2 linked regions of the Mus musculus genome follow. The protein of the gene in region 1 purifies or fractionates together with the protein of each later gene. This does not show direct contact. Links are inferred from orthologs where the notes say so. Each region holds a gene or a part of one and is shown on either strand. Other genes may lie near its edges.

The links.
Region 2: the proteins of Srsf3 (region 1) and Mepce purify together in Homo sapiens (affinity purification with mass spectrometry; 3 studies listed by BioGRID and IntAct, with this or other methods). This does not show direct contact. The link is inferred for Mus musculus from reciprocal best matches to the Homo sapiens genes SRSF3 and MEPCE.

Annotation. Positions count from the first base shown.
Region 1 is NC_000083.6:29,031,101-29,035,520, reverse strand, and holds the start of Srsf3 (serine/arginine-rich splicing factor 3), read right to left. Parts: upstream 2,862-4,420; 5' UTR 2,735-2,861; intron 1-2,734. UniProt on the Homo sapiens protein: Splicing factor, which binds the consensus motif 5'-C[ACU][AU]C[ACU][AC]C-3' within pre-mRNA and promotes specific exons inclusion during alternative splicing.
Region 2 is NC_000071.6:137,783,802-137,788,200, forward strand, and holds the start of Mepce (7SK snRNA methylphosphate capping enzyme), read right to left. Parts: upstream 2,901-4,399; 5' UTR 2,262-2,900; coding exon 660-2,261; intron 1-659. UniProt on the Homo sapiens protein: S-adenosyl-L-methionine-dependent methyltransferase that adds a methylphosphate cap at the 5'-end of 7SK snRNA (7SK RNA), leading to stabilize it.

The sequences.
Region 1 (4,420 bases):
ATTTATTTATTTATTTATTTATTTATTTATTTATTGGGTTTTTCGAGACAGGGCTTATCACTTCTTTTAAAGACAGGGTCTCAAGTATCCCAGGCTGACCTTGAATATCTGTGCAAGGCTCCACAAACCCTGTATATGAGGCTTAAACTCTGTTTAACTTCAAATTAAATTTAACCAGAGTGCTGAGTGGTGGCCTACATCTGTACTTTTAGTTCTTACAATTCACAGGTGGAGGCAGGAGTTGAAGACCAGCTTCTGCTACTGAGGCATCAAACTATTTTTTGTTTTGTTTTCCGAGACAGGACTTCTCTGTATAGCCCTGGCTGTCCTCGAACTCAGAAATCCGCCTGCCTCTGCCTCCCAAGTGCTGGGACTTTTGCTGGGATGCAAAACCTTACATTCCAAGTTTCCTTAGGAGAGATGTAGAAGAATAAAGGCATAGGGAACCATGTCCACCTGAGTTCAGCTACGGGACACACATTGTAGAAAAACTACAAATTATCTTCTGACCTTTATTGTGGTGCACACACCATCCCACAAACACAAAATAAACTAAGGCTTCCTTCCTTGGGCAGAACCTGTATTTCTAGTTTTTAAAAGTAATTAATTAAGATCACAAGTTTGGGGCTGGAGAGATGGCTCGGCGGTTATGGTTAAGAGCACCGACTGCTCTTCCAAAGGTCCTGAGTTCAATTCCCAACAACCACATGGTGGCTCACAACCATCCATAACAAGATCTGACTCTCTCTTCTGGAGTGTCTAAGACAGCAACAGTGTATTTACATAGAATAAATAAATAATCTTAAAAAAAAAATCACAAGTTTGAGGCCAGGCAGGGCTACAGTTAAAGTCCTGTCGCAATCAAATACTTCCAAGATACACTGCCACAAAAATTTCCTTTACTGTCTTAACACTAATACCACTTTTTTCTAAACACTTCTCTAATAAGCAGTTAAAATTCTCCAAGCAGCCAAACCATGTGCTATTGTTCTAAGAAAAGTGTCTCACTGTAGATAGGCCAGGCTAGCCTGGCTCTCAAGGACTAAGACAACTGTGAGTCACCACACCTGGCTCCATTTGTTTTCCAAGCATATATTCAAGTCTCAATGTGGTTCAGTGGTGGGGAGCTTGTCTAGCATGCAACTGAAACTTAATCCCCAGAACTACAGACACAATGAAAAACATGTCAAAGCCTCACTACAGCACTGCTCTCAATAGTGAAAGCTGTGCCAATCTAAATGACTACCAGGAGATGGAGATCTAGAATGTGACACAGTATTCAGGAATATACTGTCTACTACTAAGTTTAAAAGTCTTGAAAACATTCTAAAACCAGAAAAGGCCATTACAATTCCCTACATGTGAAATGCTTGAAATGGAAAATCCAGACACTTAAAAGAAATCCCAAGGAGAGGCAGGGAATTCTGAGAAGGCCGGCACTACAGAAAAAGGAATGCAGAAGTTGAAGCATAACTTACCCTGTCTCAAAAACTAAGTGCATCAGGAAGGTGGTGTGCGCACGCACACACACACACCTTTGATCCCAGCACTCTGAAGGAGGAGGGAAATGATGAGTTGGAGACCAGATCTAAAAAAGTTGAGTAAACCAAGACAGCCAGCCTGATTTACAGCAAGAACTGTCTCAGGAACAAACAAAAATAAATATCTTGGAACCACACAAAGGTTCCACAACAAAACTATCATAGCTAGGAAGGCAAGCATGCTTGTGGCTCAACAGGCTAGAGGAATGACAGTTATGAAGTTTGCTAGTGACCCCCCGTCTTTTAGTAAAAAGTGCATAAAAGTAAATGTTGAGGTCTGCTAGGCATGTAGTGGCCTGCACCGTGCACCCTAAACTCCTGCGTAAAAGAATCTTTACTAAAAGGACATACAACATACAACCTTGAGGACATACACTCAGTAAGTCTTCAACTTCACACTTCCGAAATGAAAACCCTACTTAATAAGCCATTTAAGTGTCTTCCCTACTATACACCATAATGTTCAAACCGACTATTATCAAACTAAAAAATTTAACCCTATTTTGCCGTGACCCCACCCTGTGCCCAAGACTCAGTTGAGCGACCAAGCCATTCCGCGAAAATTAAAAAAACAAACAAAAAGACAAATGAAACTCATCCATCCCCGGTTTTCACACCTGTTAAAAGCAAATAGGTCAAAGAAAAACCCAACTCAAAGTGAACTATGATTTACATTAAGAAACGCAGCCTCATTAGAAAAGATTTTTAAAGCAAACACCAAGTCGGCATAAAAAAAAGATGAGACTGTAGGGGCTCAGTAAATACGAAAAGACCTGTCTTAAAAAATATATACAAAGTCCTCAAGACACTATACCAAGAAAACCAGGAGCAAGGAAGAAAAAGGCGCCATCAAACTAAAGGCCGCGACGTGGAGAATTCATTTAGAGATCTACCCCACACACACACACACACACACACACACACACACACACGCCGGCCACACCCCAGCCTGGAGCAATCCCTCTCCGAGCCTTCCTCCAAAGGACAAAAGATTAAGTCCGGGATTTACAGACTTGGAAGCATCTTCAACATTGCCCGGGGCCCCAGCCGCCGCCCGGGACCGAAAGTCACAAAATGGCGGCGGCGCCCCTTTGTCTCAATCTGGTGCCGCCATTGCGCCCGGCCCCACCTCGAGTCTGCGGAACTCCACCTCCCTCCCTCCACCTCCCTCCCTCCGTTCGCCGGTCCCTTACCGAGATCCTGGGTTCAAAAGGCCCAAGCTCAAATCCTAACGCTCCGACAGGCCCACCCGCTTCCCTCTGGTTCTGCTCCTACAGATTCTCGGTCTCGCGGCGTCACGAAATGGCGGACCACCACCGTCCCCTCGCCCTATTTATAGCACCCTGCTCTGCCACATGACCTGACCAGATCACCCAATCAGAGGCGGCGCAGGCTGTGACGTAAGCGCTACAAACGCTGCGAGAAACCGCGGTTACTGGGAGCGCGCGCCGGCCGTTCCGTCAGGTGGGTGGGGTACGCGCGGTGGCGCGAGCTCGTCGCCGCGTGCCGGCTTGTCCCGCAGATGCGGCGCTCGGCCCGGCCATCCCCGCGAGCCGCGCAGACGCCCCCTCTCCTCCACTTCCGCCTAGGCTGCAGCCGAATAAAGCTGTCCAGACTCTGCCGCCATTAATCCCGGGCGATGGCGGCTGCAGCCGCGGGCTCGGGTCAGAGTGAAACATGGACGCTTGCTTCCTCGTTGTGGGGCATCCATCGCAGACTAAGGAGCCTTATAGTCGCTCTCAAGGTCACCGAGCTTGGGCGACTTAACTGGTACCCCACGGTGCCCGGTCTGCGCCCCGATGCAGGGTAGAGCCTGCAAAGTTTGCTCAACTTTCGCTTTCCCGCCTCGCCCAAACCGCGCGCGCGGCAAATGCGACTTGATGAGGCTGCATGAAAAAACAAAAAAAAAAACAAGACAAACGGTCACAGGGCTCACTTTCCCAGGAGGAGAGCAAGGTTTTGCATAGGTTGCCTTTACGCTCTGAGCACGCAGCTCCGCCATGCAGATGCTAGGAGGGGCACCTGCGGCCTTTGTAAGGGCTTTGCTCTGGCTGCCAGACCTGTGGGTCTCCCTGGGCCTCTACACACAGACCCCAGGATAGCTGAATACCCTCGTTTGACAAGCCACATCGTTTGCCTCCAGCTCCCAGACGTATCCTCGGCCTGGCCCCCCTCAGGCTACTCTGATTTATTGGGGAGACTTAGTTGTTTCTGCTTCCAAGAAAGGTCAAAATATTAACCAGTTTTTCAGACACAACTCTAATGCTTTTGTTCCCCTAAGGGAGTTGTGGTGCAGGCTACAGTTGTTAAACCTGTTTTTGTTGTGACCTTCAGAAGATTCTAGCAAAACTTCATTTCCTTCTAGATCTTTTTTTTTCTTTCTGGGTTAGACATGCCTAGTATAGTAGTAATGGGGCTCATTTGAACGTCCTTTTGTCTTTTTCCTCTCCTCCCTGCCTCATAATCTCAGCTCTTGGCCCAAGGGAACAGGAGTCGAACTTTATGTTCATACATTTAGTGAGTTCTAGGCCAGAAAGAACTTCTTGAGATACTTTCTGAAAAACAACAAAAAATCTGATGTATCTAAATGACTTGTGATATTCTCTGTTCCAAAATTTTTTGGTTTGTAAAACAAACAAGTAATGACTACCAGGCTGGTGAGATGGCTCAGTGGGTAAGAGCACCCGACTGCTCTTCCGAAGGTCAGGAGTTCAAATCCCAGCAACCACGTGGTGGCTCACAACCATCCGTAACGAGATCAGACTGGAGTGTCTGAGGACAGCTACAGTGTACTTACATATAATAAATAAATAAATAAATCTTTAAAAAAAAAAAAAAAGTAATGACTACCTTTAATCCCAGCACTTGGGAGGCAGAAA
Region 2 (4,399 bases), on another chromosome or scaffold:
ATGGCCTAACAACTGCCTGCTGGAGGAAGCTAGCACTGACAGGGACATAGGCTGTCAGGCTGGGCACTCTCCTCCATGTAGTCCTCTTCACTGCCTCCCTCTCACTATTCAGTCAGCATGGGGAAGACAGACCCATGGGTTTCTGACCAGCAATTTCAACAGTCTTGTGTTGTATCTAGGGAAACAGAAAGCAGCTGAGGCAAACAGAGTCCCTATCAAAGGCCCCAAACGACAAATACCAGAGTGTTCCCCCTCTCCCAAAGACACCGAGCTTGAGGCTCCCTCAGGAGACTTGAGGACAAGGTTCCATGTGGACTGAACAGAAGTACCCTTGGGAAAGTGGACTCTCTGGTTACAGTCCCAGGTGGAAGCAGGGCAAGGCATGCTATGTTGGGGATGAGATCCTTGTCTGTAGTCATGAGAAAGGACCAGGTGTTAGAGCCTCAAGGTAGAGATCCCACTTTCCACGTTAGAGGAGCAGAGACAACACCCAGTAGAGATTCTCTGGCCAATCCTGTTCTCTCCAGGAGGTGGTTCTTGTATGGAGGAACAGATGGACGCATGGATACACCTCTAGGTCATGACCATCCCCCCAACACATTCCTATTTAATCTCATCTTCACATCTGAACCCTATTCCAAGAGCCTTTGGACTCTTACCGTGACGAAGACGACATTGTTGGGGAAGACAGATGTGTCCGCTCCATCCAAGGGCACTTGGGGTGCAGCGATGGGACCCCGGCTGGCTGTCAGTGAGGCTGGGAAGCAGCTCCTTTTTCGGACAGTGATAGTCCCTTCCTCCCCCTCTGTCCCTGGGTCCCCCTCAGAAGTCTGAGCTTGGAGACGAAGCTCCTCCGACAGGTAGTGTCGGATATTTTGGCGAGCAGAGTGGATAAGCCGTGGATCAATGTCCAGCCCCACCATGCGGGCTGGGCCCCACTTGCAGGCAATACTTAGGGTCAGATGGCCAACGTTGCAGCCCAGATCTAGGACGTCCCGGCCTTGAAACCACTCGGGCTTCAACACCCTAAGGCGCACGTCCTCACAGGAAGGATTGCGATAGCCATAGTACTTGCAGTAATTCCCATATTGGAACTTTAGCTGTTGCTTTTTGAAGCCAGTTGCAGGTAGTGGGTGGTGGTGGTGACGGCCTCCTCCACTCCCTCTGCCCTTTTCCTTGGAACCCTGGCTTCCACCCCTAGCCCCTGCCTCTGACTTGCTGGAAGTCCTGCGACGTTTGCGATGTCGGGAGGAGGAAGAAGTAGAGGGTGCAGAGGTAACTGAGGCAGCTGGAGGGGCAGAAAGGGAGCCTGAGGAACCCTGCAGGGCAGATGGAAGGGGAGACACAACTTCATCCCTGCAGTTGATGGCTGTGTTGAGTTCATAGGGTTGAGGGGCATCACGGTTCTGGCCTCTGTTTTGCTGCTGCTGCGTAGCACCCTCCCCATGGAGTGAGGGCGTGAGAGGGTCAGTGGGCAGCACGGCGGCGTTGCTATCATTCCCTCCAGACGCCTGCTGCTGCTGCTGGTGGTGCGGTCCCCGGTGTCTATGGCGCTTGCGACCAATCTTGAGTGGTGAGGCAAGCACTACATGGGCCTCGTCAGTGCAAGTGTTGAGACTGAGCGGGTCAGTAATATCTTTGGGGATGAGGATCTCCACAGGGTCTCGCCCCTTGGCCGGAAGTGGGGATGACTTTGGGGTCTCCGCATTGAGTGCGCGACTCACTTCCTCATCCAGGAGGCTATTCAGGTTCAGTGGATCAAATATGTTACCCCCCAGAAGGAAATTGGATGGTAACACAGAGTCGCAGTCTGAATTCACTCGCCGGCGCCTCTTGAAGGCCGGATGTTTGAAGCTTCCACCGCTCCCTCCCCCCACGTTACAGCTATTTCTTCTTTTGCCCCCACCACCCCCAGGGGGTCGGTGGGGCTGGTAGCCATTGCGAGGTCGAGGAGGGGCTGGGGGACCCAGGTCCGTCCCGCCCCCTCCCCGGCGCTCCTCCCCCACGTCCGCAGGAGCGGCGGCTCGCCCGTGGGGCTCCCCGTGCGCCTGTGCCTGGGGGCCGCCCCCTCCGCTGGCTGCGGCCCCGGCCGAGTGCGCGCGAGGGCCCGGCCCGTGTTCTGTCCCATCACGGAGCTCCCCGGAGGCAGCCTCTTGGTGCGATTGCACCTCGGGGCCGCCCCCTCCGCCCGACTCATCTTTGAGCGGCGGCGGCGGGGCCGGCACCAGAAAGGGCTCCTTCTCCGCCGCCATCTCGATCATCTCCTCTCCCTGTTTAATTTCCCCTTCTCAAGCGAGGGTACTGAGAAGAGAGCAAGGGGAAGCCCCCTGTAACCCTTCCTAAGACCACCTCACTCCCTCCTTCCCCGAGTGCGCGCGCAGCTCTGCCTCGCGCCTCCACCTCCCTCCCGCGACACACCAAGCGCGCTCCACTCGCCCGCGAGACCAAAACAAGATGCCCGCGAGACCCGGACAAGCCGAGGAACCAACTGCGCGTGCGCCGACTCCCTTTTCTCCGCCACTACCACTCTGCCGCGAGCGCGCACGACGGGCGCGCGTCCCGCTCGCCCAGGACCCACGCATGCGCGCTCCGCCACCACCCAGGCTGCGCGCGCATCGGGAGTGCGAACCAACTTAACGGCTCCGAGAGTTTAAATACAGCCCCCCTCCCTAATTACCTCACCCTCCCCCAGCCCGAGACGCCCACCGCCCCACACGGACACCCGACTTCCCTTCGCTGCTAAGTCCAAGCCCTACTGATATCCTTTGTCTCTGCCGTGCGATCCCACCCACCGTAGGCGGGGAACGGGAGCTGGTGTGAAAAGGTCTCCTTGACACCCGACCCTTGTTCCTGAGGAATGAGGCTCCGCCGTCTCCGCCCGGCTCTAAACCCAACAACCTCCCTGCCCCGCCTCCTTCCTCCCCCATCCCCGCCCCTCCTGGAGAGCGCCTGCGCACAGTCCTTTTGGACTTGCGCGGGTTGAAGGGGCAACACGTGCTGGAGATGATGTTCCGCCCCCTCCGCTCTAGGGGCGGGGAGTGTGACGTCGTTTCCTTAGGTTCATTACACGCAGCGTGCGTCAGCACGTTTCCAAGGGGCGTGCATTCCCAGCGAAAGAGGCGGGCTCATGAATTATTCATGAGCGATCGCTGGTCTTTTCCCCACCCCTTCCCCCCGCCCCCAGCCTATCTCATTAGAATTAGGACTTAGGAGAACCTGAGGAGAGGATGATAAAGTAGGCTAAGGAATCGAGACCATTGTCTCAAGAACTGTTATCAATAAAATGCAATATATTATTTAATATATTTTCTGAATTGAAAACAAACAAGTACTAAAACATCGAGATTGTCCAAACTCCTCTTCCCCTGAAATGGCCCAGTTGTTCAAGCGGCCCTCCTCCTTCCACCAGGGACAAACATCTAGAGAACTACGCCTTCCTCTCCTCCCTACACCTACGTCAGGCCTCGGACGCCGCTGCCATAGTGCAGCGCCTGCGTATCGGTCCCTCAGCGCCACCCGCTAGCGTTGCGGATTTTACAGCATTATCCCTGCAGCTAGACACACCGCGAATGTGGGCGGGAAAGGGTATCGACCTGTTTGGGCTCCTGTTTCGGCCAATGGGAAGCACTGATTCTATGCAGAATCCTCAGACTGATGGCTGGCGGAGTTTCCCAGTCCACAGACTATTTGTCAGGAAAGAGCACTGTAGAGGCAAGGGGGGAGCTCAAGATGGTTTCAAAATTTAAGAGGGTGACGACAACTAAAAGGTAGGGAGTGATAGCACGAAAACAGGAAAGAGAAAGCGATTTGAGGCAGAGATAAGAATGAAGTGCCTAGGGCGCTTCGCAGGATATTATGGGGGGGGGGGCGCGGAACTAAAGATGTCAGCGAGGATTATGGAACTTGTAGTTTCACTAGGCTTTCGTTCTTAAGATGGCGGGCTACTCCGGCTGCGCAGACGCAGAAGCAACTTCCAACTGCGCACGCGCAGCACCTGAGCGCACGCCGCTTGGGGGCGGAATTTGTCCGTGTCCTCGCGCCTTCTCCTGGTGGCGGGAAAAGTTGCTCGAGGTGGAAGGGATGTGCGGAATGGCTGCGACAGCGTTAGCTGCGCTTCACCTTTAGGTCCTCGTCGCCCCAGAAGGTAGTTGTCTTTTATGCGACTGCAGAGGAAAGTGTTAGTTGTGGTGACTCTCGGTACCTGTTGGCTGAGGAGAAATTTTCTCTTCGGAGCCACAGCGGACCTTAGCCCCTGCTCTTCAGAATCGCTAATCTTCAGAACAACAACAACAAAAAATAACCCAGTATTGCGGAGGGAAATGAGGCGTTGTGGGACAGCGAGGCTGAGCGGGAGCAAAGGGGAAGAGGCTTCCATGGTGGCGTTCTTGGTCCGGGAGAG